Linked DNA regions of Lonchura striata. The protein of the gene in region 1 binds, or shares a complex with, the protein of each later gene. Links are inferred from orthologs where the notes say so. Each region holds a gene or a part of one and is shown in the gene's direction. Other genes may lie near its edges.

Region 1 (7,502 bases):
CTTAGGGTATGTTTGGGTTTGGGGGGTATCTTAGGATATTTTTTGATTTTTTTTTGTTGGTTTTTTGGGGCAGTTTAGGGGTATTTTGGGGGTATTATTGGGGTATTTTGGGGGTATTTTAGAGATTTGGGGGTATTTTGGGTTTGGGTGGCTATTTTGGGGCAGTTATGGTGTATTTTTGGGTGTATTTTGGGGTATGTTTGGGTTTGGGTGGCTATTTTTGGGTTTTGGGGGGTATCTTAGGGTATGTTTGAGTTTTGGGGGGGTTTTGGGGGCAGTTTAGGGATATTTTGGGGGTATTATTGGGGTATTTTTGGGTTTGGGTGTATTTTGGGTTTGGGTGGCTATTTCTGGGTTTTGGGGGGTATCTTAGGGTACGTTTGGGTTTGGGGGTTTTTTTTGGGTTTTGGGGGGTATCTCAGGGTACGTTTGGGTTTGGGGGGGTTTTTTGGGTTTTGGGGGGTACCTTAGGGTACGTTTGGGTTTGGGGGGGTTTTTTGGGTTTTGGGGGGTACCTTAGGGTACGTTTGGGTTTTGGGGGGGTTTTTTGGGTTTTGGGGGGGTTTTTTGGGGTAGTTTTGGGGTATTTCGGGGCCGTACCAGAGCCCCTGGCGCTGCAGCGAGCGCACGTGGGCCGGGAGCAGCACCAGGGAAATCTCGGCTTTGACCTTGGAGCCCTCCAGGATGGGATCCACGAGCAGGAAATCGCCTGGGGGGACACGGGGGTCACCCGGGGGTCACCCAGGGGTCACCCGGGGGTCACCCGGGGGTCACCCAGGGGTCACCCGGGGGTCACCCAGGGGTCACGGGGTCACAGGAGTGGCCTGGGGACAGACGCAGGGACAGCGCCCGGGGTGGGGAGGGGCAGCAGGGGACAGTGGGGGAGGGCGGGTGACGGTGACAAAGTGACAAAGAGCCGGCGGCAGCGCCCTGGTGACGGTGGCGCGGTGACAGCCAGAGGGTGACGATGGCGCGGTGACACAGAACAGCCTGGGGACAGTGACAGGGAGGCAGTGCCAGTGCCCCGGTGACAGTGACAAAGTGACAGTGACACGAGACAGCGGCAGGGTGACAATGGCAGGGTGACAATGACAGGGTGACAATGGCAGGGTGACAATGGCACAGTGACAATGACAGGGTGACAGTGATAGGGTGACACAGTGACACTGACAGGGTGACAATAGCACAGTGACTATGACAGGGTGACACAGTGACAGGGAGGCAGTGCCAGTGCCCCGGTGACAGTGACAAAGTGACAGTGACACGAGACAGCGACAGGGTGACGATGGCAGGGTGACAATGGCACAGTGACAATGACAGGGTGACAGTGATAGGGTGACACAGTGATGCTGACAGGGTGACAATGACAGGGTGACAGTGACAGGGTGAAAATGGCAGGGTGACAATGGCAGGGTTACACAGTGATGGTGACGGTGACAGTGATAGGGTGACACAGTGACGCTGACAGGGTGACAATGACAGGGTGACAGTGGCAAGGTGACAATGGCAGGGTGACAATGGCAGGGTTACACAGTGATGCTGACAGGGTGACAGTGATAGGGTGACACAGTGACACTGACAGGGTGACAATAGCACAGTGACAATGGCAGGGTGACACAGTGACACTGACAGGGTGACAATAGCACAGTGACAATGACAGGGTGACACAGTGACAGTGACAGGGAGGCAGTGCCAGTGCCCTGGTGACAGTGACAAAGTGACAGTGACACGAGACAGCGACAGGGTGACAATGGCAGGGTGACACAGTGACGCTGACAGGGTGACGACAACACAGTGACGCTGACAGAGTGACACTGACAGAGTGACAATGACAGGGTGACAGTGACGGGTGACAGTGGCAGGGTGACAGTGATAGGGTGACACAGTGACGCTAACAGGGTGACAATGGCACAGTGACAATGACAGGATGGGAGAAACGGTGACACAGTCACAGTGACAGGGTGACAATGGCAGGGTGACACAGTGACAGGGTGGCGGTGTCACCTCTCTTGATCCAGATGTGCCGCCGGAAGCGCGGTGGCAGTGACAGGGTGACAATAGCACAGTGACAGGGTGGCAGTGACAGGGTGACACAGTGACAGTGACAGGGTGGCGGTGTCACCTCTCTTGATCCAGATGTGCCGCCGGAAGCGCGGTGGCATGCTGGCCAGGAACCGTGTCCCCTCCGCCGTCTCCACCTCGTGCAGGTTGTTCCCCGGTGTCCCCAACACCTGCGGGGACACTCAGTGTCCCCTCCATGTCCCCAGTGTCCCTCAATGTCCCAAATGTCCCCCCAAATCCCCCCGATGTCCCCAATCCCCCCAATGTCCCTGGTGTCCCACCGGTGTCCCCAGTGTCCCAAATATCCCCCCAATGTCCCTGGTGTCCCACCGGTGTCCTAAGTGTCCCCAGTCCCCCCCGATGTCCCTGCGGTGTCCCCAGTGTCCCCCATGTCCCCAGGGTCTCCAACGTCCCCGAAGTGTCCCCAGGGTCCCAAATGTCCCCCCAATCCCCCTGATGTTCCCAATCCCTTAATGTCCCCAGTGTCCCCCATGTCCCCAGTCTCCAACGTCCCCGCAGTGTCCCCCATGTCCCCAGTGTCCCCGCTGTCCCCGCAGTGTCCCCATGTCCCCGGTCTCCCCGGTGTCCCCGCAGTGTCCCCCATGTCCCCAGTGTCCCCGGTGTCCCCCATGTCCCCGGTGTCCCCGCAGTGTCCCCGCTGTCCCCGCTGTCCCCGCAGTGTCCCCATGTCCCCGCAGTGTCCCCATGTCCCCGCAGTGTCCCCAATGTCCCCGCTGTCCCCGCAGTGTCCCCGCTGTCCCCGATGTCCCCGCAGTGTCCCCAATGTCCCCGATGTCCCCGCAGTGTCCCCGCTGTCCCCGATGTCCCCGCAGTGTCCCCAATGTCCCCGCTGTCCCCGCAGTGTCCCCATGTCCCCGGTGTCCCCGCAGTGTCCCCCATGTCCCCCATGTCCCCGCAGTGTCCCCGCAGTGTCCCCCATGTCCCCAGTGTCCCCGCAGTGTCCCCGCAGTGTCCCCGCTGTCCCCATGTCCCCGCTGTCCCCGCAGTGTCCCCGCAGTGTCCCCGCTGTCCCCGCTGTCCCCATGTCCCCGCTGTCCCCATGTCCCCGCTGTCCCCATGTCCCCGCTGTCCCCGCAGTGTCCCCGCTGTCCCCCATGTCCCCGCAGTGTCCCCGCTGTCCCCAGTGTCCCCGCAGTGTCCCCGCTGTCCCCCATGTCCCCGCAGTGTCCCCGCTGTCCCCGCAGTGTCCCCATGTCCCCGCAGTGTCCCCATGTCCCCAATGTCCCCGCTGTCCCCGCAGTGTCCCCATGTCCCCGCTGTCCCCGCAGTGTCCCCGCAGTGTCCCCGCTGTCCCCGCTGTCCCCGCAGTGTCCCCGCTGTCCCCCATGTCCCCGCAGTGTCCCCATGTCCCCGCTGTCCCCAGTGTCCCCATGTCCCCAATGTCCCCGGTGTCCCCATGTCCCCGCTGTCCCCGCAGTGTCCCCGCTGTCCCCATGTCCCCGCTGTCCCCGCTGTCCCCGCTGTCCCCGCTGTCCCCGCAGTGTCCCCGCTGTCCCCGCAGTGTCCCCGCTGTCCCCGCTGTCCCCAGTGTCCCCGCTGTCCCCGCTGTCCCCGGTGTCCCCGCTGTCCCCGCTCTCACCCTGACCACGCTCTGGCCCTCCGCGGGCTGCACGCGCTCCTCCAGCAGCTCCCGCACCACGTGCTTCCGCTTGGTGGCGCGCGACATCGCGGGGCTGGGGGGACACGGGGGGGGCTCAGGGACCCCCGGCGGGGGGGGAGGGGCGGGGGGGGAGCCCCGGGACCCCCCGGGACCCCCCGGGACCCGCCCGGCCCCGCCCCCACCGAGCGGCGCCCGCTCACCTGCGGCAGCACTTCCGGGTAGAGCGGCGGCGGTGACGTCACTTCCGAGAAGGAAGGCGGAAGCTGAGGCGGCCACGCCCCTCTAGAGGCGGGGTCTAATACTGAGCCCGCCCAAAAGGGGGCGGGGCCTAAACGGAACCACGCGGTGATAAATTAATGGCCGCGTTTGGGGCGTGGCCAGGCCAGAGGGCGGGGCTTCATCTGCATAATGAGCGCGGTTATGCAAATGATGGGCTGGATCACCGAGGGGCTCACGCAAACCAGCTGAAATCCTGGCGTGATGCAAATGAGCGCGGGTTGGGGGCGGTGCTATGCAAATAGGTGTGAACGAATGCAGGTGGTGTGGGCGGAGCTATGCAAATGAGGGTCTGGGATGTGGGGCAGGGGCTTGGCGGGGCCATGCTAATGAGCAGGGCTAGCGAATCCTGTGACGTCACTCCAGCACCGCTCATGCCAGCATCGTTTCCGTGACGTCACCCTCGCCGCCGTGACGTCACCCTCCCCGTTACCCCAATACCCGCGCACGCCCCGCCCTTTTCACCCCGTGACGTCATCACGCGCGGCGCCGCGCTCTCTGATTGGCTGCGACGCTCGCGGCGGCGGCGGCGGGGCCAAGATGGCGGCGGAGCGCGCGGAGGCGGCGGCGGCCGGGCCCGGGGAGCCCCTCAGGGACCCCCGAGCCCCCGAGCGCTCCCCCTACGCCGGATGGGCCCACCCCGAGCTCCAGGCCACGCTCGCCGGCATCGGAGCCCCCGCGCAGGGTGCGGGGAGCGGGGGCGAGCCGTGAGGGGAGCGGGAGCCGTGAGGGGAGCGGGACCTGAGGGGAATGGGAGCCGTGAGGGGAACGGGAGGAGCCGTGAGGGGAACGGGAGCCGTGAGGGGATTTGGGGGAAAAGATCTGAATGGGAAACTGAGCGGGTGTCGGAGTCACCTGAGGGGATTTGGGAGAGATGTGAAGGGAAGGAGGAAATTTGGGGGTTAGTTGAGGGGAGATCTGAGGGGTAGCAGGGAAATTTGGGGGTTTCAGGGTTCACCTGAGGGGATTTGGGGGAGGTGTGAGGGGAAGGAGGAAATTTGGGGGTTTTGGGGTCACTTGAGGGGAAGAGAGGAAATTGGGGGGTTTTAGGGTTCACCTGAGGGGATTTGGTGGAGGTGTGAGGGGAAGGAGGAAATTTGGGGGTTACTTGAGGGGAGGTCAGAGGGGTAGGAGGAAAAATTTTTGGGGTCATTTGAGGGAAGATCAGAGGGGTAGGAGGGACATTTTTGGGGTTTTGAGGTTACTTGAGGGGAGGTCTGAGGGGAAATTGGCTGGGTCGGGGTCACCTGAGGGGATTTGGGAGAGGTGTGAGGGGATGGGGAAAATTTGGGGTCACTTGAGGGGACATTTGTGGGGTAGGAGGGAAATTTGGGGGTTTTGGGGTCACTTGAGGGGAGATCTGAGGGGAAGGGGGAAGATTTTGGGGTCACCTGTGGGGATTTGGGGGATTTTTGGGGTTCCCTGGGGGGATTTGAGAGTCCTGAGGGAGGTCAGGAGTCCCTGGGGGAATTTTGGGGGTCCCTGGGGTGGGAAATTCTTGGGGTTCCTTGGGGGGACAGAGGAACGTGGGGGGGGTTGGGGTTTGTGGGGCAGAATTTGGGGATCCCTGAACCCCCCCAATCCCCCCCAGGGACCCGGGAGGAGCTGCTGGAGCGGCTCCAGGCCTACACCCTGCAGGTGAGACCCCCAAAACGGTGGGACCCCAAATTCTCCCCCCTCCTTGTGTCCCTTAAAGGAGGGGGACTCGTTTTTGGGGGGTCTGTTGTGATTTTGAGGGGATTTCATGGGATTATGGAGGGATTTATTGTGATTTTGGGGGGGCTTAATTGGATTTTGGGGGAATTTAATGGAATTTTGAGGGGGCTCATGGCAGTTTTGGAGGATGTAATGTGATTTTTGGGGGGTTTAATGTGGTTTTGAGGGGGTGGGAGGGGATTTTTGGTGGATTTAATGTGATTTTAGGGTTGTTTATTTTGATTTTGGGGTGGTATAATGTGATTTTTTAGGTGTCCTAATGGGACTTTGGGGAGCTTAATAGGATTTGGGGGAGTTTAATGAGATTTTGAGTGGGTTTACTCTGATTTTGGGGGGTTTAATGAGATTTTGGGTGGGTTTACTCTGATTTTGGGGGGTTTAATGAGATTTTGGGTGGGTTTACTCTGATTTTGGGGGGTTTAATGTGCTTTTGGGGGCATTTATTCCATTTTTGGGGGGGTGAGAGAGCTCCTGCTGTCCCTGCCCTCCCAGAAGGGGGGTCCCCATGTCCTCTCGAGTGTGGGGGCTCATGGGAACCCCCCCAAAATTTGTGCTCCCCCCCAGACTGGGATCGTGCTGAGCCGCCCTGCTCTGCGCCCCGAGGAGGGGGACAAGGCCCCGCCCCCCCAGGTGGGATTTTGGGGGATCTGGGGGGGGTTTGGTGGGGGCAGGAACCCCCCAGGGTCTGGTTTGGAGGGAGGGGGGGTTGGGGGCACCCCCAGGACCCCCAGTTTGGGGTGGGGGGGGGGGGGGGCAATCCACGGGTTATTTTGGGGGGGTTTAAGATCCATCAGAGCTCCACATTTTTGGGATGGGGGGGGTCAATGACATTCAATTTTGGGGTGGAGGGGCTCAAAATCTTCCAGACCCCCCAAATTTGAGGTGGGGGGGAGCAATGACACCCAGTTATGGGGTGGAGGGAGGGTTAAAACCCACCCAGACCCCCCAAATTTAGGAGGGGGAGCAATAACACCCAGTTTTGGGGTGGAGGGAGGGTTAAAACCCACCCAAACCCCCCAAATTTGAGGCATTTGTGGTTTTAAATTTCGGGGTGGGGGTGATCAGGGGATTCAGACCCCTCCCACCACTGAATCCCGGGGGATGAAATTTTGGGGTGGGGGTGTCCCAGGTGACCCTGACCCCTCCTCCCCCTCCCCAGCTGCCCCCAGCGCTGCCCCTGCAGCACCCCCTGGTGCCGCCCCCTCCCCCCCCGGGCCTGGGGCTCACTTTCGGTCTGGGGGGGCCCGTGGGGGGGGTCCCGGTGCCGCCCCCGCCCCCCCCGGGGGGCTCTCCGAGGAGGAGCGGCTGACGCTGGCCCAGCAGCAGGCGGCCCTGCTGCTGCAGGAGGAGAGGGCACAGGTTTGGGGGGAATTTTGGGGGGTGGGGGGCACGGGGGTGTGGGGTTTGGGGGGGATTTTGGGGGTTAAAGGGGCCCTGCTGCTGCAGGAGGAGAGGGCACAGGTCTGGGGGGAATTTTGGGGGGTGGGGGGCACGGGGGTGTGGGTTTGGGGGGGTTAAAGGGGGTCTGGGGGGGGTTAAAGGGGCCCTGCTGCTGCAGGAGGAGAGGGCACAGGTCTGGGGGGAATTTTGGGGGGTGGGGGGCACGGGGGTGTGGGTTTGGGGGGGTTAAAGGGGCCCTGCTGCTGCAGAAGGAGAGGGCACAGGTCTGGGGGACACGGGGGTGTGGGATTTCGGGGGGATTTTGGGGGGGTTAAAGGGGCCCTGCTGCTGCAGGAGGAGCGGGCACAGGTTTGGGGGGAATTTTGGGGGGTGGGGGGCATGGGGGTGTGGGGTTTGGGGGGGATTTTGGGGGTTAAAGGGGCCCTGC
Region 2 (8,014 bases), on another chromosome or scaffold:
TCCTCAGAGATCCCATACTGCTCCAGGGGGTCCTGTGGGGGAGCACAGGGAGGCACCAGTGAGATGCAGACAAAGCCCAGCAGCCCTTGGGACACACGGGACACAGCAGGGAGCCAAGGTCCAGGGGAGCCACAGTCACGTCCCTCCCTGGAGCAGGGGGTGAGCAGCATCTCCACCCATGGATCTGCCCAGGTGTGAACTGTTCCAGCTCTGCGCCTGTCCAGCTCCAAACCTTGGGCCACTCCAGCATCAGAGTGTGTATCAGAGTTAGGTGAGCACCCAGGAGAAGGTCTTCAGGTCTGGCTGTGGAGACCATGGCTCCCTATGGGATCTGGAATCTCCTTCCCACACACAGCCTGGGCAGGACTGGCAGCAACAGCCCCTGCTGCCAGCCAGAGCCATCAGCCACACCTGAGCTGCAGGGACTCACTCACCTTCCCTGTCATCTTCTGGATCTCGTTCCTGTAGAAAATCAGGCTCCTCCTCAGGAACTCGTAGCTGCAAGACAGGAACAGAGCACGGGAAGGGCTGAGCAGAGAAGGATGTGGGGAAGTTTCAGATGCTATTTCGAGCTGGAGGGAAGCTTGTCTGGGAGGAGACAAGCACTGCCCTCCCAGTTCCTGATCCCAGAACACAGCCCAGAGCCCCCAGCACTGCCCTGGCTCCGAGGGCTCAGCCCACCTGGCTCTCTTGAGTGCCTCAACCCACTCCTGGCACTGCTCCTCCGTGGCACACTCAAAGCAGTATTTCCTCTCTGGCTCCTCGATGAAACCTGCCAGGGACAAGGAAAAGGCTCCAGGCAGGTCCTGGCAGAGCTGCTGGTGCTCCCCAGACTCTGCCAGGCCACAATTAGCAGCTCTGTTAACGAAGATGAGGTGGGAATGAGTCTGCAGCCCCCACCTCCAGCCCCTCTCCCATTGCCTGGGTGGCTCTGGGTGCCTGGGGCAGCTGCCCACAGCATTTCCCAGCTTACAGCAGCCAGAGACCTTGGGAAGAGCAGCTTCCCAAACTGAGGGTGAATTGAACTGGACCACACGGCCAGATCCAGGACTGACTCCCTGAGGCCCCTTGCAAAGACACCAGGAATTTAAATCCAAGTGGGAACAGCCCTGAGAGAGGAACTGGGATACCTGCAGGGAGCAGCCAACAGAGGAGTTAAACTGCACTGGGAGAAGGCCCTGAGCTGCCTTTGCTGGAAGCTTTTGGGAACGTGGTATTCACATGGTACTCCCACCATGGAGAGCAGGTCCTGGTGCCACTCCAGTTCTTGACCAGGACAGAGCCAGGACATGCCACCAGTTCCTGTCCCCAAAGCTCTGCTGAGCAGACCCTCAGGGCTGCTGCTGCCAAGCACCTGGGTCAGGCTGCACCAGCACCTCGGGATGGGCTGTGGACACATCCCAACACCAGGTACCGCTGGGTTTAACCCTGCTCAGGAATCCTCCTCCACCAGAGCTCCCAAAATCCCTAAAGCCCCAAAATCCAGCACATGGTGCTCCAGGCTCAGTGTGTTCAGGCAGTTTGTGGGTCCTTTGGAAGCACAGAGCAGAACCACAGCTGTGCCTGGCAGCCAGGCCAAAAGATACAGGGATGGCCTTGGAGAAACATCCTGTTATTGTGGCCACATACCTCTGGCAGAGGGGAGAGCTGCGGGATGAAAGGCTGCTCCCAGGGGAGCTGGCCCAGCTGCCGCTGCACAAGGACGCACAGAGGGGAGGATGGGGCTGGAGCAGCTTTATCTGAGCCTCTCTAGGGTGTTTTTTGGATAAAATGCAGCAGCACAGAGCAGATCTGTCAATAACCAAGCTCCCCCTGCCAGAGATTCCACAGGCAGGCAGTGGGGCCTGGCTGCTCTTAGTGCTGCTCTGCACGTGCAGCTGTGCAAGTCCCTCAGGCTGTGCCATGGAATATCCCTGAGCTTTCCTCGGGATGGCCACAGGCACAGTGAGGAACAGCTGGCACCTGAGGAGGGGAAAGGTTGAGGAATTGGTAAAGTTGGAAATGGCCTTTAAGACCATCAAGTCCAACCATCAGCTCAGCACCACCAGGTTCACCACTCACCCCTGTCCCCAGGTGCCACATCCACAGATCTCCTGAACACTCCCAGGGATGGGGACTCCACCACTGCCCTGGGCAGTCCGTGCCAGTACTTCCAAACCTTTTTGGTGAGTAAATTTTCCCCAGTATCCAATCTAAACCTGTCCTGGGCACAACTGGAGGACATTTCTTCTTGTCTTGTCCTCTGTTCCCTGGGAGCAGAGCCTGACCCCCACCTGAAGGGCCCTGACCCCACTGAGGGAGAGGAGAAGGGCTGGGGGCAGTGACCCCACTGAGGAGGGGAAGGGCTGAGCTGACCCCACTGCACCAGGGAAACAGGGGAAAGCAGAACTGAGCATTCAGCATTCCCTTTCCCACCAGGGGAAGGCAAAGGGGTGCACAGGCAGCACTCACTGATGGAGAAGACGTTCTCCTCCTCTTTGGTGATCTTGCAGTGCTCCAGCAGCAGAGCTCCAATGGGCTGAAAACACATGGAGAGAAGGTTTAACCCACAGGGGCCCCAACACCACGAGGGCTCAACCCACGGTACTTCCCTGGAGCCTTTTAAGCAACTTTCACAAGCTGGTGCTGCTTTTGAATAATTCATTCTGATTGCACCATATTTCATGTTCCTTTAATCACCTTTTCATGCCAGTCTCACCTGCAACACTTTGCATTTGTTAATTAGGTGTCAATCATCTCTACTGGCTCAGTTTCAGCCTGGTCTTAACCACTCTGTGATACCAGAGAAAAACATTTGCTTTTAAAATCAAAGATGAAACATTTACTGTGACACCCAGAATAACCAACACTGAGCTATGCAAGGGCTGTCCTGGAGCCTTGCAAGTGTGAGCAGAGCTGCAGCAGCTGAGGATGACCAAAAAACCACCTGGTACTACTCAGGGACACGGGGACAGCAGGTGACATTGGCCATGAACAAAAGCAACCACAAGAAATCCTTGTCCAAGTGAACCAACATGTCAGAAGCAAATCAGGCAGCAGGGAAGGGATTGCAGACCTGATTTATCTTGCATTTCATACAACTCTTTGGGTTGGAAGAGATCTCAAAGCCCATCCAGTGCCACTCCTGCCATGGCAGGGACACCTTCCACCATCCCAGGCTGCTCCAAGCCCTGTCCAGCCTGGCCTTGGGCACTGCCAGGGATCCAGGGTGGGCACCCTGTGCCAGGGCCTGCCCACCCTGCCAGGAACAATTCCTGCCCAATCTCCCATCCAGCCCTGCCCTCTGGCACTGGGAGCCATTCCCTGTGTCCTGTCCCTCCAGGCCTTGTCCCCAGTCCCTCTCCAGCTCTCCTGGAGCCCTGCTGAACTGATGGAAGGTGGACCCTGCTCCAGCTCTGCCATGCACCATTTTCCCAGCCCACACAATCCAGGCATAGAAAAAGAAGAAAGGAGGAGGGGAACAAACCCCACGCAGAGGCCCAATCCCTACCTCAGCCTCATCGGTGCGGAAGTAGAAGAGAAAGTTCACCACGAGCTTCACCAGGCGCTTCTTCAGCACTGCAGGGGCACAAGGGAGCAGGGCAGGGCTGAGGCAGGGGCACGGGGAGCAGGGGAGCCCTGCCCACCCTGCCAGGGCCCAGCGTGGCGCTGACCCCACCAAGGCACCCCCCGAGGCTGCTCCCTCAGGGTGACAGTGTCTGAGTGGCCTCAGGGTGACAAAGCCCCTGAGCAGCTCCCGGGCAGTCAGAGCTCACAGCAGCAGCACCACGGGGCTCCAGGCACTCCAGGAAAAGCTCCGGATCCTGGGAGCCCTGCCTGGAGCTGCCAGCACGGGCGTCACCCCCACGGGACAAAGTCCAGCAGGTGCTCAGAGGACGAAAGGCTCAGGACAAGGGAGTGAGCACAACACTGCTTGTTTGCAGGGGAATTTTCTAGGAGATTTCAGGGAAGACCTTCTTCCCCAGATCCCCTGGAAATGGGGGATCTCCCTGGCCCCAGCCCAGCCCCAGAACCTCCCTGCACGCCCATACTGGAGCCCAGCACTCGTGCTCCCCACTGCCACACTCCAGCCCTCCCAGCCTGCCTGTCCCCAGCCCTGCCTCCCAGCACTCCCAGTCCTGCCCTGGTTTCCCAGCCTGGATTCTCCAGTACCCTCAATCCTCCCACCCAGCTCCCCCAGACCCTCTCCAGCCTCTTCCCCCAGCAGCTCCAGTTCTGATTCTGCAGTCGGGGCCCCTCAAGTACCCTCAGCCCTTCCCTGGTCCTACCCCAGTTTCCCACTCGTGATTCTCCAGTTCCCCCAGCCCCACCACCCACGGCACCTTCCCAGTCCCTCCCAGTATCCCCAGTCCCGACTCTGCCCCCCAGGTACCGCCGGTCCTGTCCCACCTTCCCCTGCCTCCCCCAGCACTCCCAGTTCGCCCAGTCCCGGCTCGGAGCCGCCCCAGTTTCCCCAGTATCCTCAGCCCCACCGCCGCAGCTCCCCTCGCACACCGCTCCCGCTGTCCCAGCCCTGCCTCCCCGCTCGGGGCCCCTCAGGCAGCGCCGATCCCCCCGCGCTCCCGCCCCGGTACCCCAGCCCCGGCTGCGCCCCGCGCGGATCCCGCTCACCGCTGCCCTTCTTGGGGACACTCATGCGGATCTCGGCCGCTTTCTCGGCCGGCTGCCGGGCCAGGGACAGCAGCTCCCGCTCGTTGTAGCGCATGGCGGGCCCCGGCCCCGGCCACGGCCCCGCCCGGGCCGCCCCAGCGCCGCCGGAAGCGCCCTCAGAGCGCCCGGAACGGCTCCGGGGCCGGAACGGCTTCGGAGCCCGGAACGGCCTCGGCGGGCCGGAACGGCTTCGGGGCCCGGAACGGCTTCAGAGCCCGGAACGGCTTCGGAGCCCGGAACGGCCTCGGCGGGCCCGGAACGGCTCCAGGGCCCGGAACGGCTTCGGGGCCGGAACGGCTTCGGGGCCCGGAACGGCTTCGGGGCCGGAACGGCTCCAGGGCCCGGAACGGCTTCGGCGGGCCCGGAACGGCTTCGGAGCCGGAACGGCCTCGGCGGGCCGGAAACACCGCGGAGCCGCGGGAGCGCGCAGGCGCCGGGGCGGGAGCGCGGCCGCGCGCAGGTTCGGAGCGGGGAGAGACCCTGAGGGGAGAGGGGGGAGAGGGGAGCTGAGGGGAGAGGGGCCATGAGGGGAGAGGGGGACTGAAGAGGGGCCGTGAGGGGAGAGGGGGAACTGAGGGGAGAGGGGGACTGAGGGGGAACGGGGCAGGACTGGGGGAACTGGGGAGTCGGGGCTGGGCAACTGGGAGTGCTGCGTGAGGAGAGACTGGGAGAGCTGGAAGAGAGGGACTGGGAATGCTGGGTATGGAGAGACTGGGAGAGCTGGGAAGCAGGAATTGAGAACTGGGTGAGGAAGGACTGGAGAGCTGGGAAAGGAGGGATTGCAAAAGCTGGGAGAGAAGAGACTGGGAGAACTGGGAAAGGAGGAACTGGAAATGCTGGGTGAGGAGGGACTGGAAAGCTGGGAAAGAGGGACTGGAAATGCTGGGTATGGAGAGACTGGGAGAGCTGGGTATGGAGAGATGTGGAATGCTGGGTGAAGGGGAATTGAGAGAACTGGGTGAGGAGGGACTGGGAGTGCTGGGTGAGGAGGATTCAGAGAACTGGGGGAGAAGAGACTGGGAGATCTGGGTATGGAGAGACTAGGAGAGCTTGGTGAGGAGGAATTGAGAGAACTGGGTGAAGAAGGACTGGGAGTTTGGAGTATGGAGAGACTTGGCATGCTGAGTGAGGAGGGACTGGAGAGCTGGGAAGGAGGGACTGGGAGAGCTGGGTAAGGAAGAATTGAGAGAACTGGGTGAGGAGGGACTGGGAGTGCTGGGTGGTCTGGGTGGTGAGGCTGGGGGAACTGGAGAATCACGAGTGGGAAACCAGGGTAGCACCAGGGCAGGATTTGGGTTACTGGGAGGATCAGCGGGGCAGGAACGGAGGCACCTGGAGGTTGCCGAATGCAGAACTGGGATGGAGCTACTGGAAAAGTACTGGGGAAACTGGGTGCCCTGGGTGGGAGGACTGGGGGTGCTGGAGAAACTGAGGGTGCTGGAAATGGAGGGACTAGGAGAACTGGGGTGGTGGGGCTGGGGGAGCTGGAGAATCACGAGTGGGAAACTGGGGTAGGGCCAGGGGAGTGTGGGGAGGATGGGGAAGAGCACCTGAGTGGGAGTCAGTGGGCCTTGACTGGCTGAATCAGGACTGAAGCTACAGGGGGATGTGGCTGGAGAGGGACTGGGGACGAGACACTGGAGAACTGGGTGCTCTGTGGGGAAGGATTTGGGGTTCCTCAAAGGTCTTTCCAGTGTTTGGGCTCCCTGTGGGGAGGTCTAGGCAGGGCTCTGACCTTGCTGAGGGCAGGGGGGACTCCAGGACCTCACCTGGGGCTTGGGGACATTGCTCAGAACCCCTGACCTTGTTGGGGGGCTTGGGGGGCTCTGACCCTCCCTTGGTGTTGGGGGTGGCCCTGGGGCTTTGGGGGTGGTGGGGGAGCATAGACCTGGTGGTGGTCAGGGAGGAGCTCTGGGGCTGTTGGTACCTCAGGTGAGGGGGGAAGGCTCCTCTGGTGGGGCCCAGCTGGGCTTGGAGTGGCTGAGGTGATGGGAAGGGCTCCGGGGGGATTTTCTGGATCCGTACTCGGCTTTCCCAGGTCGGTGGTGCCGGATGTGCTCCATGTGGGATTGCATCCCGTGCTGTGTGCCTGGGGCATGCCTGGGTGTCACCCCCACCCTCGCTGCTGCGGCTGAAGAGTCCTGTGGCTCAGTTGTCCCTGACACTCCTTCCTCTTGGCAGACTCCATTTCTCCAGGAGGAGCTGAAGCCCAGAAATCCCCAGCATGGATTTCCAGCACCGGCCCGGGGGTAAAACGGGCAGCGGGGGCGTGGCCTCGGCCTCCGAGAGCAACCGGGACCGGCGGGAGCGGCTGCGGCAGCTGGCCCTGGAGACCATCGACATCAACAAGGTGCAGGGGAGCCCCCGCAGCCCGGGGGACACCGGGCACAGTCACATTCATGGCATCCTGCAGTGCTTTGGGTTGAAGGGAGCATTAAAGCTCATCCAGGGACATCTCAGGTTTCTCCAAGCCCTGTCCAGCCTAGACTTGGACACTTCCAGGGATCCAGGGGCAGCCACAGCTGCTCTGGGAAATCCATGCCAGCTGCCCACCCTCACAGCCAAGAATTTTTCCCCAGTCTCCCATCTAAACCTACTCTTGGTCTCTTTGAAGCCATTTCCCTTTGTCCTGTCCTTCCAGGCCCTTTTCCAAAGTTTTCCTCTGTCGGTATAGGACACATGAAAGCATGACACAAGCTGCTACTATTGCAAAGGTGAAAAAGAAAGAGTTTATTTTCTGACTCCAGCATTTATACTTTTTTAAAGGTAACAGTGGATTGGAGGGTGCAAGTGCCACCTCTCCAATGACATTGGACAAACTACTAGTACATCAAGTTTCTCCACCTCTATGAAGGAATGCAGAACAATAAGTTGTTTACAGAAAGTTGTGTGAGAAAGTTCTCTAACAGAATGGAAACTCAGAAGGCTTTAGAAAATCTTAAGAATCAGGGCGACATTCCTCCAGTTCTCTTGGAGCCCCTTTAGGCTTTATGGTCACCCCAGAGCCTCCTTGTTTCCAGGCTGAGGTGTGGATTGGGTTTAAATACATCTGTTTCTGGGCATGTGGGGGTTGAATAAGGAATATTTAGGACAGAGTGACAAGGAGGTGCCAGCTCTTGTGTATCCATCTATTTCCAGTCTCCCCAGGGCTGGTTTGGGTTGTGGTGTTTCCTGCTACAGTTGGGAATTCTGTCACCACTGCACACATAGCTGCTGTTGGTTCTCTCTTGTTTCCTCCTCCTAAACCTCTCTTGTGCTGTTAATTTAAAATCTGAACTCAGCTACAGGATCCTAGGGTATCCTGAGCTGGGAGGGACCCTCAGGGATCATCAGTCCAGCTTCTGTCCCTGCACAGACCCCCCAA
Region 3 (7,161 bases), on another chromosome or scaffold:
GAGAACAAAAGCACAGAGGTGTGATGCAGCTGCAGCCATACAGCTCCTGGATCCCTGGGCTCAGTTTTGCACTTTGCTGTTCTCTTCTGCCATTTCAGTTCTTTTGGCTCAATGAATATTAGGCAGAACCTTATTTTTGGCATGTAACTTGTCTACTTAGATTTTTAGTATTCAAGAACAACTTTGCTCTGTTCCACAAATTAATTTTTACCTAATAATTTTCTTTTCTGCTTTGGAAGCATTAAATCTTTGTGTTTCTTAGCTATTCTGACCAAGTTAATTTTTATATATTCTTTTCTGTTCCTTCAGTCAATATTTGCACCGTTTCTTACTCTACAACTTGCTTACATGGGACTGTCCAAGTACTTTCCAAAGGTAATTTTTTTTTCAGAATTAGATTAATTTGAGGTGTTTTAAGTTTAAACTTGTATTTAGATTGTATTTTAGGACCGATGCATGTGAAGTATTCTTCCCTTGTTTTAAACTGTATAGTTGAATGACCAGCGCTGATAGTTTATACTAGTTTTTAATCTTTCCAGATTTAGTCCAGGATATTTTTAAAAGCTGCAGTGAAAACTAGCAGCTTGTGTAGCTGTAGCCTAATTCAAAGTGTTTGACCAGGAAATCCAGGTAGTTCTTTCATGTCTTCAGGAAACTTGCTTTTCTTCTAGACCATGCCCTTCCCCGGTTATTATTTGTTTTGCTAAACAGCTGTTCTGCATATAATATCCCAATGAAATCTGGGAGAGTGTTGTTAAAAAATGAGGCAGAATGTTGAGTTTTTTCCACTGCTGGTATTGGTTTAAATGACAGCTTGAAATGAGACATTTATCTGTGTGTGAAACTTGCTGCTTATTAGCAAGATTTGCTATACCACTTGCTTTATATATTTACAACAAGTAATTGTTCCTTAAGCATTTGTTAGGTTGATGATTTTGTCAGTTCTGTGGTGCAGAGTGGGATTGAATGATGTTCAATCCACAGTTAAAAGGGAAAATTTGCATTTTAAAAGGAATAATAGATTACTTGTAGAAAATCAGAATAAATCAGCAGTTGTTTTGTAGTTAAGCATATCATAATAGTCATTCTAAGCTGATGTGTCACAACACAAAACAGTAAGATTAGCCTTAGATTTGCACCAGCTCATCTGGTACATCACCTTGATCTTGTTTCTTGTGTACTTAAAATCCACCCTTCAGTTTCAGAATTCAAGAGGTGGCTCCTTTCCACAATTTGCTTTTACTGCAGTTAGACGTGGGTGGGTGAGGTCAATCCCTTTGTTAACCTTCATTTTTCTCCCATGAAACACAGAAATATTCAGAAAGCCTAATTTAGATTGGATTAAATTAAAATATCCAGCAATTATCATCAAATTATTAGAATTTTCAGCTACTATCACCTTTTCCTGCATGTCAGACTTGCATCCTTGGGATTCCTCATCTTAAGGATGGAACAGCTTTCAAAAGTTTGGAGCATTTCTGAGTTCAGAGGATAAAACTACCAAAGTAAGTTGTTCTAAAACAGAAAAGTTGGTTTTCAACTCTAAATAATTTTTTTCTTAGAAAACTTAACAATATTTCTGGGGTTTTGAGCAACCTGGTCTAGTGGAAGGTGTCTCATAACAGGGGGTTGGAATGAGATGAGCATTAAGGTCCTTTCCAACTCAAACCATTCTGGGATTCTGTTTTTTGCTGAATAGTGGAATGGATTAATCGAGTTCTGACAGTGGAGATGCCAGGCTTGGCTCCTTACACCTAGATTTCCCTTGTCTGGGAATGTTCCCACTCATGCAGGAGCAGCTGCCCAGCCTCACATCTCAGCCTGCTGGGAGAAGTAGTGTGAAGGAGGCAGAATATCCAGGATGAATTTTATCTGCTGTTAGCCAGCCTGTCACTGGTAGATCCATCACAGCAGGAATCTGTGTCTCGGATAAGTGCTGTGACTCCTGGAGTGTGTCTGGACAGGATCAATGCAAACCTGCTACTCTGACAACGCATTTGGAACGTGTGAAATTAGCACAACATCGGTGACATGTAAAGCAGAATTGGATTAGGAGAACTAACATGATATTGGTTTTCTTTCCCTTCTAGTGTGAGAAGAAGGTGAAAACAACAGTACTGACTGCTGCTCTTCTCCTCTCTGGAATCCCTGCAGAAGTGATCAGTCGCTCCATGGACACCTACAGCAAAATGGGAGATGTTTTCACAGACCTTTGTGTCTATTTCTTTACTTTTATCTTTTGCCATGAACTTATTTTGGTTTTTGGCTCTGAAGTACCATGATGACTGTAGAATTCCACACAGTAGCTACACTAAAGCTTTCTGTTCCTTTTAACATTTGACTGTGCAGGCAGGTCTAAACCTTCATTAAAATTCTTACCTGTTAGAATGCTTGAAAGGGGCCTTAAATCCAATAATTTTGGGAAAGGGAGAGCAGGGTCCCAGACTGCCAGTTGTGTTGGTTCAGTTTATTTAAATACTGTGTCTACATATTACAAATGTGAAGATTAGGATGCAAGTGACAGTGGATGATTTATTTGTTTTAGTTAGATGACACCCTTCTCAGCCTCCTTCATAAACATTTACAAAGCTGCCTTTGTTCTTTTCAGTGAGAACAAGAAAAGAATTCCCTCCAGCAGAACCATATATATGTGTATATCCTGTATGACTATAGCTAACAAGACCTGCTCATTTTTTGGTGTTCCCATTTTTTACAGAAAGCTCTAAAGAAAAGAAATCCCTGTATTCTTTTCAAATGTTCAAGTTCAGAATGTTAAACCAAGTAGCTGCTTTCTGGAGAATGTTGGTGAAACTTGCCACTTAGTTGTTCTTATCCCTGCCTTGCCATATTTTACTTGTTGTGATTGTGATTAACTTAATTTGATTGTTGTGGAAAAGAGCTGGGCAAAACCAACAACAAGAAGGTCTTGGTGCTTATAAAGGTCATTATTCAAAAAGTAAGAAAAAATAGAACTAACCACATCTGTTTATGAGTTTCCAGCAACCTAATCCTAGTGCAGCTCACACCTGTACTGATACTTTTTTTTTTATGTTACCAGTTGTCTCATGAGAATTTTACATATTGGCACCCAGCCTGCAGTATCAAATCTTTGCTCTAGTGTTTGTAAAACTTACAAGGGATACAGTTTTGTTTTCAATCTCTTAGGAATTTTGCACAGTGAGAGGAAGTGTCATTCCAAATAGTCAATTTAAACACTGATAATCTCTGAAAATCTCTGTTGAAGCGAAATTTGGTAGTGTTTTCAGCTTGTAGTTTTCTTTTTAAAGTCTGGACTTTCAGGTAGTATAGGCTGTTGCCTATTTTTAGCATAGTAAACTACATATTTAACTTGGTATTTGCCTGCAGAGGTTCTTTTAGGGCGCAGATGTGTTTAATTGTATCTCTCTAAATGGCCCAGCTTTCAGTTGATTATTTTTTGTTAAAGCTTCCTCCTGCAATTTTAGTGATGCTTTCTTGACTTTTAAATTAGAGACATGTTTGTGGCCTGAATACAAGAACCTTATGTTTTGATTTGACCATTTTCATGGGGTTTTTTTAAACTGGTTCTGTTATGGTGAGTATTATATTACAGATATAAAGGGCTGGGTTGCAGAAAATTCTGACTTAGGTTTTTCAGCAAAGGTATTGATTCAGCAACTTTAAATTTATTTATATTAGATAGTAATTTCAGAAAACTGAAATTACAGTAATTTAAGATAAAGTTGAGATACATAAATAATGAGTTTACTTAAAAATTACTTGTTCTGATTCTCTATTTATATGCCCAAATGTAATACAAATAAATTGGAAAAATCCCTACACCAGTACCTGTAAAAAGCTATGAATTTTAATCCTCACCATAAATTTTAATCAGATAAATACCCTTGCATGGGCAGAGCACCAGGAGGGGCTTGTGCTTAATTAAGAAACCTCGATGAAGAAACGGCGATCAAGAAACGACCTTAGACCAAGAAACCAATCTCTTTTATTCCGTTTTTAACTTACCTCTGCTGGTGTTCGTAGTTGTGTTTAACGTTTATTGCCGGAGCGATTGTTTTCTATTAAAAGCCTCTCGGTTACCCGCTTCCTCGGCGCTGTGCGCGGCTGGGCCGGGGCGGCGCTGCGCCCTCCGCCCGCCGGGGGGCGCCGGCGCGGCCGGAAGGGGCGGCGCTCCCGGGGCGCGCGCCGCGCGGGCGGGGAATGGCCGCCGCGTAGCGGGAGCGCCGCCGCCATGGGCCGCGAGTCCAGGTGAGGGAGCGGCGCCGCCGCCTCGCCCGCCCGGCGGCCGCGGCGCGCTCGGGGATCGGGCGGCGCGGCGCGGGGAGGCGGCCGTGAGGGGACAACGCGGCGCGGCTTTCCCGGGCGGCGGGCGCGCTGAGGCCGCGCGGCGCTTCGGGCCTGGCTGGGTCCGAGGTGCCACCAGCACCTCCGGCCTTCACGGGTTTGTTCCAAAATGTCATCGTTGCCCACGCAGAGGGGTTAGCTTGATTTGGATGGTTTTGTTCGTGTCTTTTGTGTTTATGGAGCAGTATATTTTGCGCTCTCCCAGTGATGTAAAGCCCTGATTAGGGTTGTAACCAGCTCGGCAGTAATGTGCCCTTGTGCTGCGTGTGACTCGGGCCGAACCTGTGCTCCAGATGATGCGGAGCTGCTCACACCTACCAGGCTTTAAAGCCATTCCACAATTTGCTAGTGCTGTCGGGCATATGCCTCTGTCTCGTAGTTTAATCAGATTTTTATGCTAAAGCTGACATGATAGTCCTCACATGCAGTTCTGCTACACTCTAATAGTTCCCAGGTCCATCACGGAGATTCACCCCAAGAAAGACAGATTACTTGAAATTTTAACAACCATCTTGGGCCCAAATTAGTGATCTATTGCAGAGCTAGGCACTCCCACAAACCTATCTAAATTAGTTCCAGATGAGCTGGGGCAGCAGTGGGTGGTACAGGGCTCTGTTACAGCCTTCTGAATTGAAAACCAGGCTCTGGCACTCCAGCCAGCAGGACTCAGTTGCTTATCACAATATAGCTTCTCTTCTGAAAATGACAGAGTCCTTCTATTTGGGCTAAAAATAATGCTAAAAGTGGGTTTAAACTTGTATTAATTTTCTATTTTAACGTACAAAAAGTTTTAAAAGTGAAGAAATGGTAAGAGAGTGAGAGTGAATGGTGGGTGGAGATGGGTGCATGTGTTAGGGTTGGTGTGAGGAAATGTTCCTCACACTGGGGCTTCTGGAACTTGAAATCATCTTTTTGTCTTTATTGCACACTATAGAGGAAGAAAAAATAAAAACAAAAGTAGTTCTCTAAAACTATAAGATTAGAAAGAGAGGATTTATAGAGCAGATCCCATGCCATTTTGAGATGGAGATGGAAAATCAAACAAAAGTCTCCATGCAGAAGGATGTTCTTTGCAGTCAGTTATCCTGCTGATAGGCAGGAGGATGTGGATATGTGCTACTGTACTAACTCCAAGTGCATGTGCTGCCTAAATATACCACATAACATAGACTAGATATAAATATACTGCTATTTTTAGAGCTGAACTATTTTAATACTACCATGCAAGTGACACAAAGAGTGGGGGGCTTCAAGTCTTGTCTTCTCTGCTTCTTCCTTCTTCTCAAGCATGACTATTGGGCTTGTCAGGAGAAAGGCTCTGTGAGTCTTGAGCCACAGGAGAGTGACAAAGGAATGATTCTGGCATGGTGTCTGAAAATCTGGGATTGGAGGAAGAGGAAATGGTCACAGTCACAGTCCCTCTGTGACTTCTACATTCAGTTGAAGAGTTTCCTAGAAAATTCCTTTCCCTGCTCTGCCCCACAGTGTGGTTAGGATAAGAGCATTAATGAGAGGAGGAAAGCAGACACCCATCTCCCTCACACCCCTCAATCTTGCTGACTTTCGACAGCTTCTGTTGTGATATTTGATATTACAGAATTTCTATTAATGTCAGCATGGTAAAGGCATTGACCACAGGTGTGTTACTTCCTTGAGGGTTTATGTTTCTTTAATTCCAGTCTGACAGCTTTCCCACTGAGCAGAAGTATAGTTCACCTACCTTATATGGGTAAACATTTATTGCATAAAAAGTAACAAAGAGCAGTTTTGTTTGTCTGAAAGGTTTTGAGATAGTTTCAAAGAGCCTTCAGATTTTCCTATATATTAAATGGAAATCAGTGGATTTCTGAAAAGGAAATTGTTCTTGATGTTCTGGTGTTCTCATGTGCTTATAATAATACTCTAAAACTAAAAGAAAAATAATGAGCAAATAATCCTTCTAATTTCAGCATCATTAAGAGTGTATATGTATATTATACATACAGTATGTATATTAATCAGTTTGCCAAGATGATTGGAGAAGTTTAGACATTTAAGAAGCCCAAGAATTTCAGATAATTATTCTGCCTGCTGCACATGGTTCTGGTGCTCACTCTGACCGTGCCCGCAGGCATTACCGGAAGCGCTCTGCGTCCCGGGGGCGCTCCGGGAGCCGTTCCCGGAGCCGTTCCCCGTCGGACAAGAGGAAGCGCGAGGACAGGCGCTCCCGGAGCCGGGACCGGGACCGCAGGCGGGAGAGGTCGCGCAGCAGGGACAAGAGAAGGTCTCGCTCGCGGGACAGGAAGCGTCAAAGGTACGACGGCAGCTCCAGTCAAGGCACTAAAAGTGCCTGTCCGCTGAATATTGATGTTCTCCCACTCCAGCTAGTTACTTTGCTGATGCCTGTGGTGGATTTCACAATGCTTAAGGCTTTTTCCTTATTTAATGCTTTCTGGCTTGCTGGTGCTGGAGTTTGTAAGTTCTTAGCGGTCTTGATGGTTGGTGGGTTCCTTTTATAACCTGTTCCTCAATAGAAGCATAAAGTTATGCTCTGAGTATATCCTAAGTAAAGACAATTTTGTTGCATGTCAGACGTTCAAGGAGCAGAGAAAGGGAACGGAGCCGAGAGAGGAGACGATCCCGGAGCCGAGACAGGAGGCGCTCAAGGAGCAGGAGTAGAGGGAGACGGTCGCGATCCTCCAGTCCAAGCAAGAACAGGAAAGCAGAAAACAGGTATTCTAGTGTTCTTAGCTTTAGAAATGTGTAAAAGCTTACTGCAGGTCGTTGTCTTTTAAATGTATCTTGATGAGGTTTTCAGATATAATTGAAAACAGCATA
Region 4 (6,829 bases), on another chromosome or scaffold:
GCGTCTGGGCGCTGCGGGCTGGAGGGTGAGCGCCGTCAATGAGCGCTTCGACATGGCCCCGAGGTACAGCCCCGGGGGTCCCCAGCACTGTCTGAGCCACTGGAAATGGCACCCGAGATTTGGGGGACCCCACCCGTGTCCCACCTTCCCACAGCCTCCCCCAGTACCTCTGGGTGCCCAGTGGGCTTCTGGACCACGACCTCAAGCGAACTTTTGGCCACTTTCAGGAGCGACGGGTGCCTGTGAGTGCCTGGGCAGGGTGGGGGGCACTGGGAGGGGATGTGGGGGTGTCACCCCGATTTTTTTGCAGCGCCTGTGCTGGCACCACCCGGGTGGAGGGGACCTGCTGAGAGCTGCCAGCTTTCACCGGGCCTCGGAGCCAGGCAGCGAGGATGTGAGGTGGGTGCCAGGGGGCCCCGGGGTGGGGGGCTGAGGGTGCCCCTGGCCAGGCCCCTCTTGGGGTTCCCTGTGCCCCCCAACCTGTCCCCTCTTGGGGTTCCCTGTGCCCCCCAACCTGTCCCCACCCGGGGCTCCCTGTGCCCCCCAACCTGGCCCCACCCGGGGCTCCCTGTGCCCCCCAGGTGCCTGGAGGCGCTGCTGCTGGGGGACCGCGGGCCCTGCGTGTTGGCTGACACGGCCGAGCTGCCCACGCTGGCCGACATCCAGCTCGCCCACCTGAGGCTGCGGGAGCTCTGCCTGCCTGGTGAGTGGCACTGGGCGGACCCCGAGGACCCCCAAACTCCCCCTGGGGAGCTGGGAACCCCCCATTGAAACTCCCTCCCGTGGGATCCAGGCGCGGTGGCAGAGGAGAAGTGGCTCTCGGCCCTGGAGGGGACACGCTGGTTGGACCACGTCCGGTGAGCAGGGGGTCTTTGGGGTGTAGGGTGGTATTTTGGGGAAAATTCACCATAAATCCCATGGTGGAATGTCCGCCCCCAGCCCACCTGGCACTGTGGGGCAGTGGGGGCATTGTGGTGGGTGCATGAGCCACCCAAAGGGGTGACAGTGACATTTTGGGGTGCCCTGAAGCCCTGCTTTTGCCCCCCAGCTCCTGCCTGAGAAAAGCAGTGGAGGTGGCGTCGCTGCTGGCAGGGAAGCGCTGCTCCGTGGTTCTGCAAGGTGTGGGGCTGGAAAAGGACAGGAGGGGGCTGGAAAGGGGACCCCCATCATCACCACATTGCCCCCCCAGAGCCCTCGGACCGGGACCTGAACTGCCTGGTGGCCTCTCTGGTGCAGCTCCTGGGGGACCCCCACGCCCGCTCCCTGCCTGGCTTCCAGAGCCTGGTGCAGCGGGAGTGGGTGGCAGCCGGGCACCCCTTCCCACGCCGGCTGGGGCTGCTCTGCCAGGACAGCCCTCGGGAGGAGGTGAGACCCCCATTGCTGTCCCAGTGGGGTGACAGAAGCTGGGACAGCCCTCGGGAGGAGGTGAGACCCCCATTGCTGCCCCAGCGGGGTGACAGGAGCTGGGACAGCCCTCGGGAGGAGGTGAGACCCCCATTGCTGCCCCAGCGGGGTGACAGGAGCTGGGACAGCCCTCGGGAGGAGGTGAGACCCCCATTGCTGCCCCAGCGGGGTGACAGGAGCTGGGACAGCCCTCGGGAGGAGGTGAGACCCCCATTGCTGTCCCAGCGGGGTGACAGGAGCTGGGACAGCCCTCGGGAGGAGGTGAGACCCCCATTGCTGTCCCAGTGGGGTGACAGGAGCTGGGACAGCCCTCGGGAGGAGGTGAGACCCCCATTGCTGTCCCAACGGGGTGACAGGAGCTGGGACAGCCCTCGGGAGGAGGTGAGACCCCCATTGCTGTCCCAGTGGGGTGACAGGAGCTGGGACCTGCCTGTGAGGGGTGAGCCCCCCCCCCAATCCCGAATCCCCCCCAGGCCCCCGTGTTCCTGCTGTTCCTGGACTGCACCTGGCAGCTCCTGTGGCAATTCCCGGCGGATTTTGGCTTCACTGAGGCTTTTCTCCTGGCGCTCCACGACAGCAGCTTCAGCCCCTACTTCAGCACTTTCCGCTTCAGCTGCCAACGCCAGCAGGGCCACAGCGGCACGGTGAGGGGCATTGCTGCACCCCCAAACTCTCCCATCTCACCCCTTCTCCATCCCCATTCCCAAACTGGGGACGGGCACCCCCAGATCTCCCATTTTACCCCTTTTTTCCCCCCGGCTCCGTGCCTCAGTTTCCCCATCCCAAAGAGGGGACTGACTTCCCAACCACTTCCCCCACAGCCGCGGCTCCCCAGCCAGATCTACCGACCCATGGGGGGCTGGCAGGACCCTGGGGGACACAGGGGAGGCCCCCAGCCCTGCAGCTTTCCCCCGGTGTGGGCCTGGGGCCGGCGCTACACCCGGCAGCAGCGGGAGCAGTTCCAGAACCCCGCGGGACCCCCGGGCCCTGCTGAGTCCCGGACCCCCAGCACGGTGAGTATGGCTGGCCTGGGGGGGGCTGCACCCTTCCTTTGCTTCCCTTTTTCCCTTAATCCCTATTTTTATCCCCTCCGTTTCCTCTTTCTTTCATCCCCTTTTATTTCCAAATCCTGTTTTTTCACCCCGCTTTTCCTCCCCCATTTTCCTTTCACCCCTTTTTGATTTTCCCTAATCCCCGCTCCCCCTTTGCCAGCCCGCAGACCCCTGCCCGTGGCGGGGTGCCAGCCTGGTGCTGACGCTGGCCAAGGGCTCCTTGTGCCCTCACCCCCTGCCCTGGTGGAGCCGCCCCCCCCTGCGCCCCCCATTGCGGGGGTCCCCCTCGGACAGCCAGGGGACACAGGGGGGGCTCCTGGGGACCTGCCAGCCCACCCCGGGGCTGCTCCTGCCCTGCACCGCCGGGCCCTGCGTCCGCCTCTGGCACCGCTGCTACCTCAGGGGGCTGCCCCAGGAACAGGTACTGGGGAAACTGAGGCACGGGGGAGGGCTGGAGACTGGGGGTGGTGGTTTGGGGGGGGTCCCAGTCTGGCTGGGGGGGAGGATGGAGCCAGTTTGTGTGCAGCTGGTGTCTGTGTGTCCATGGGGGTGGAGGGATGGATGGACGGATGGATGATGAATGATGGATGGATGGATGGATGATGGATGGACAGATGGACCCCATGTCCATCCATCCCATCTCGTCCATGTTCCCATCCTGTGCTGAACATCCTGCCCCGTGTTCCCATCCTCGTGTCCCTGTCCCATGATGAACACTGCACCTCTCCATGTCCTGCTCCCCGTGTCCTTGTCCCCACGCCGTGCCGGCCGCTCTCTCTGCAGCGCGGGCGCTTGGCCCCATCGCTGGCCGGGCTGGCTGAGGAGCTGCAGCTGCTCCAGGACCGTCTCCACACCTGGACCCTGCGGAGGCCGCACTGAGAGCCGGGGGCACCCGAGCCAGCCCAGCCCCGCTCGGGGGCTCTCAGCAGAGAGCTGCTCCAGCTGCTCCCGCCGCCTCCGCTTGCTCGGCGGTGCCGGGAAGGGCGAGCGGCGGCTCCCGAGGTGCCCCCGCTGCTGCACGGGCGCTGCGGGCTCTCGGTCCCCCATTAAATCTGTGCTGCCTCCATGAGGCTCCGGGAGCTCAGCGATGGGGATGGGATGGGGACGCTGCGGGAGCGCACACCTGGGACCTCCGCGCCGCTGGGATCATGGGGCACTGAGGGCACTGCTGGCCGTGTCGGGAGAGAAAGGCCATGTCGCGACAGAAGGGGTCCTGTCGCGACAGAACGAAGCGCGGCGGTCCCTGCCCGCACCCAAGATGGCGGCCGCGCCTTCCCCTCACGACGGCGCTTCCCGCCAACGCCGGGCTCGCGCCTTGACGTCACGCGCGGCGTGCGTGCGTGCGTGCGTGCGGCGCCGCGCGCGCGGAGCGGGGCAAGATGGCGGCGGGGCCGATCTCGGAGAGGAACCAGGGTGGGAGCGGCGGCAGCGGCCCGGGGGCACCGGGGCAGCGCTCTGGGGACGCCTGAGTGCACCGGGGCCGTGCGGGGTGCTGGCGAGGGCTCTGTGGGGAGTGGGGAGTCCTTGGAAGCGCTGGAGGGGGTTTTGGGCCGCGGGGGGATACGGAGGGAGGAGCAGGCGGAGCTCCGAGGCCACGGTGGGCTGGGGTTTTTCCCAAAGGAAAAAGAGGCTGTGGGGCTCCTGGATTAAGGGTGGCGAGGAGAGATTGGGGTTTGTGGGGGTTTTGGCTGGAGGGTTTTGAGTGGAGTGATTTTGAGTGGAGGGTTTTGAGGGAAGGGTTTTGGCTGAAGGTTTTGAGAGGAGGATCTTGACCGGAGGGTTTTGAGGGGACGATTTTGACCGGAGGGTTTTGCGGGGAGGATTTTGATGGGGGGGTTTTGAGGGGAGGATTTTGAATAGAGACTTTTGAGTGGAGGATTTTGACGGGAGGGTTTTGAGGGAAGGGTTTTGGCCGGAGGGTTTTGACCGGAGGGTTTTGAGGGGAGGGTTTTGGGTGACTCTGAGCGCGGGGGGTGGCGGGGTCCCGGCGCTGAGCCCCGTTCCTCGCAGATGCCACGGTGTACGTGGGGGGCCTGGACGAGAAGGTCAGCGAGCCCCTGCTCTGGGAGCTCTTCCTGCAGGCCGGGCCGGTGGTCAACACGCACATGCCCAAGGACCGGGTCACGGGCCAGCACCAGGGTGAGGGACCCCCAAAACGGCAACGAGGGGGGTGGGATTGTGGTGTGGGAGAGGGGGGGATCATCCTCTGTCCCTCAGGAGGTGTTGGTTTGCATGAAGTGGGGATTGAATCGAGTATGAGGTGGTATACAATAAAACCAAGGGGGTTTCAGTCGATAATTACATGGGGTTTTTAACGAGCTGGAGTTTTAAATCGGGGTGTGGGGAGTGGCTTTGTGCCCTGAAGTCATTTAGGGGTCTTGCCCCACCCCTGAGCTCCTTTGGGATCCCCCAGGCTACGGCTTCGTGGAGTTCCTGAGCGAGGAGGACGCCGACTACGCCATCAAGATCATGAACATGATCAAGCTCTACGGCAAACCCATCCGGGTGAACAAGGCCTCGGCCCACAACAAGAACCTGGACGTGGGCGCCAACATCTTCATCGGCAACCTGGACCCCGAGATCGACGAGAAGCTCCTCTACGACACCTTCAGCGCCTTCGGGGTCATCCTGCAGACCCCCAAGATCATGAGGGACCCCGACACGGGCAACTCCAAGGGTTACGCCTTCATCAACTTCGCCAGCTTCGACGCCTCCGACGCCGCCATCGAGGCCATGAACGGGCAGTACCTGTGCAACCGGCCCATCACCGTGTCCTACGCCTTCAAGAAGGACTCCAAGGGCGAGCGGCACGGCTCGGCGGCCGAGCGGCTGCTGGCGGCCCAGAACCCCCTGTCCCAGGCCGACCGGCCCCACCAGCTCTTCGCCGACGCGCCGCCGCCGCCCTCGGTGCCCGCGCCCGTGGTCACCGCGCTGGGGCCCGGCGTCACCCCGCCAGGTGGGTGCCACGGCTGCCCGGGGCGGGGCTCGAGGTGCTGGCGCGCGATCCCCGCCTCTTTCCTAAATTTTTAGGGTTTTTTTTTCCTCCTGGCCCATTTTCCAGCATGTGTATGGGGTGGGGCTCTTTCCCCGATTTTTTGGTTTTTTTTCCTCCTGGCCTATTTTCCAGCATCTTTATGAGGCAGGGCTCTTTCCCACATTTTTATGGGTTTTTTTCCTCCTGGCTCATTTTCCAGCCTCTGTATGGGGTGGGGCTTTTTCCCAGATTTTTAGGAATTTTTTCCCTCTTGGCTCACTTTCCAGCACATCTATGGGGCAGGGCTCTTTTCCAAATTTTGGGTTTTTTCCCTACTGGCCCATTTTCTAGCACCTGTATAGGGTGGGGCTTTTTCCCAAATTTTAGGGTTTTTTTTTCCTCCTGGCCCACTTTCCAGCACCTGTATGAGGCAGGGCTCTTTCCCAAATTTAGGGTATTTTTTCCTCCTGGCTCATTTTCCAGCACCTTTATGGGGCAGGGCTCTTTCCCAAATTTTGGGTTTTTTTTTCTCTTGGCTCACTCTCCATCAGTGTGCCCCACACCTGTATGGTATGGAGAGGGGCTGGGAACACAAACCCTGTGAGGAACAACTGAGGGAGTTGGGGATGTTCAGTCTGGAGAAAAGGAGACTCGGGAGTGACCCCATCACTTTACAACTTGTAAAATGGTTGGAGTCAGGTGGGCTTGGTCTCTTTTCTTCAGCAACTGACAGAACGAGAGGTTACGGTCTCAATCTGCCTGAAGGGAAGTACAGGCTGGATATCAGGAAAAGATTTTTTACAGAAAGAGTGATAAAGTTCTGGAGTGGCTGCCTGGGGAGGTGGTGGAGTCACCATCCCTGGAGGTGTTTAAAAAATGCCACTGAGTGCCATGGTTGAGCTGAGGCATTGGGGCTGGCTTGGATTTGATGATCTCGAAGTTCCATCTCTGATAATTCAGTGAATTCTGTGATTTCCCTCTGTGCCAGGCCTGCCTCCCCCCGGCTCCTTCCCTCCGCCGGTGCCGCCGCCGGGAGCGCTGCCCCCGGGGATGCCCCCGGCCATGCCCCCGCCGCCGATGCCCCCGGGCGCCGGAGCCCCGGGACCGCCCTCGGGAGCCGCCCCCGCCGGGGGACACCCCCCTCACCCGCACCCCTTCCCTCCGGGAGGGATGCACCACCCAGGTACGGGGCTGGGAGGGGCTGGGAGGGACCGGGAGAAGCTGGAAGGGACCGGGAGGAGGTGGAATGGGACCGGGAGGAGCTGGGAGGAGACCGGGAGGAGCTGGGAGGGTCCAGGAGGAGCTGGGAGGGGACAGGGAGGAGCTGGGAGGGGACATGGATCAGGATCTCCTCTTTTTGTCTTCCCTCCACCTCTCCTTTCCTCCCACTTCCTGCTGG

Evidence for each region.
Region 2: SF3B2 (region 1) and SF3A2 share a complex: the UniProt entries of both Homo sapiens proteins name them as parts of the 17S U2 SnRNP complex. The link is inferred for Lonchura striata from reciprocal best matches to the Homo sapiens genes SF3B2 and SF3A2.
Region 3: SF3B2 (region 1) and DDX46 share a complex: the UniProt entries of both Homo sapiens proteins name them as parts of the 17S U2 SnRNP complex. The link is inferred for Lonchura striata from reciprocal best matches to the Homo sapiens genes SF3B2 and DDX46.
Region 4: SF3B2 (region 1) and SF3B4 share a complex: the UniProt entries of both Homo sapiens proteins name them as parts of the SF3B subcomplex of the 17S U2 SnRNP complex. The link is inferred for Lonchura striata from reciprocal best matches to the Homo sapiens genes SF3B2 and SF3B4.

What each region holds. Positions count from the first base shown.
Region 1 is NC_134638.1:660,562-668,063, reverse strand, and holds the start of SF3B2 (splicing factor 3B subunit 2), read left to right. Parts: upstream 1-4,489; 5' UTR 4,490-4,498; coding exon 4,499-4,643; intron 4,644-5,549; coding exon 5,550-5,596; intron 5,597-6,238; coding exon 6,239-6,335; intron 6,336-6,857; coding exon 6,858-7,033; intron 7,034-7,502. Other genes in the region: putative RNA-binding protein EIF1AD, read right to left, coding at 601-709, 2,123-2,231, 3,662-3,748. UniProt on the Homo sapiens protein: Component of the 17S U2 SnRNP complex of the spliceosome, a large ribonucleoprotein complex that removes introns from transcribed pre-mRNAs.
Region 2 is NC_134630.1:2,944,593-2,952,606, forward strand, and holds the start of SF3A2 (splicing factor 3A subunit 2), read left to right. Parts: upstream 1-5,000; 5' UTR 5,001-5,110; intron 5,111-5,801; exon of another isoform or gene 5,802-5,821; intron 5,822-6,831; 5' UTR 6,832-6,874; coding exon 6,875-7,000; intron 7,001-8,014. Other genes in the region: PLEKHJ1 (pleckstrin homology domain-containing family J member 1), read right to left, coding at 1-32, 435-498, 682-772, 2,452-2,518, 3,491-3,558, 4,612-4,705. UniProt on the Homo sapiens protein: Component of the 17S U2 SnRNP complex of the spliceosome, a large ribonucleoprotein complex that removes introns from transcribed pre-mRNAs.
Region 3 is NC_134617.1:9,331,702-9,338,862, reverse strand, and holds the start of DDX46 (putative ATP-dependent RNA helicase DDX46), read left to right. Parts: upstream 1-4,153; 5' UTR 4,154-4,231; coding exon 4,232-4,248; intron 4,249-6,454; coding exon 6,455-6,637; intron 6,638-6,915; coding exon 6,916-7,056; intron 7,057-7,161. Other genes in the region: guided entry of tail-anchored proteins factor CAMLG, read left to right, coding at 310-375, 2,091-2,282. UniProt on the Homo sapiens protein: Component of the 17S U2 SnRNP complex of the spliceosome, a large ribonucleoprotein complex that removes introns from transcribed pre-mRNAs.
Region 4 is NC_134635.1:2,714,935-2,721,763, reverse strand, and holds the start of SF3B4 (splicing factor 3B subunit 4), read left to right. Parts: upstream 1-3,820; 5' UTR 3,821-3,835; coding exon 3,836-3,869; intron 3,870-4,466; coding exon 4,467-4,595; intron 4,596-4,869; coding exon 4,870-5,412; intron 5,413-6,418; coding exon 6,419-6,613; intron 6,614-6,829. UniProt on the Homo sapiens protein: Component of the 17S U2 SnRNP complex of the spliceosome, a large ribonucleoprotein complex that removes introns from transcribed pre-mRNAs.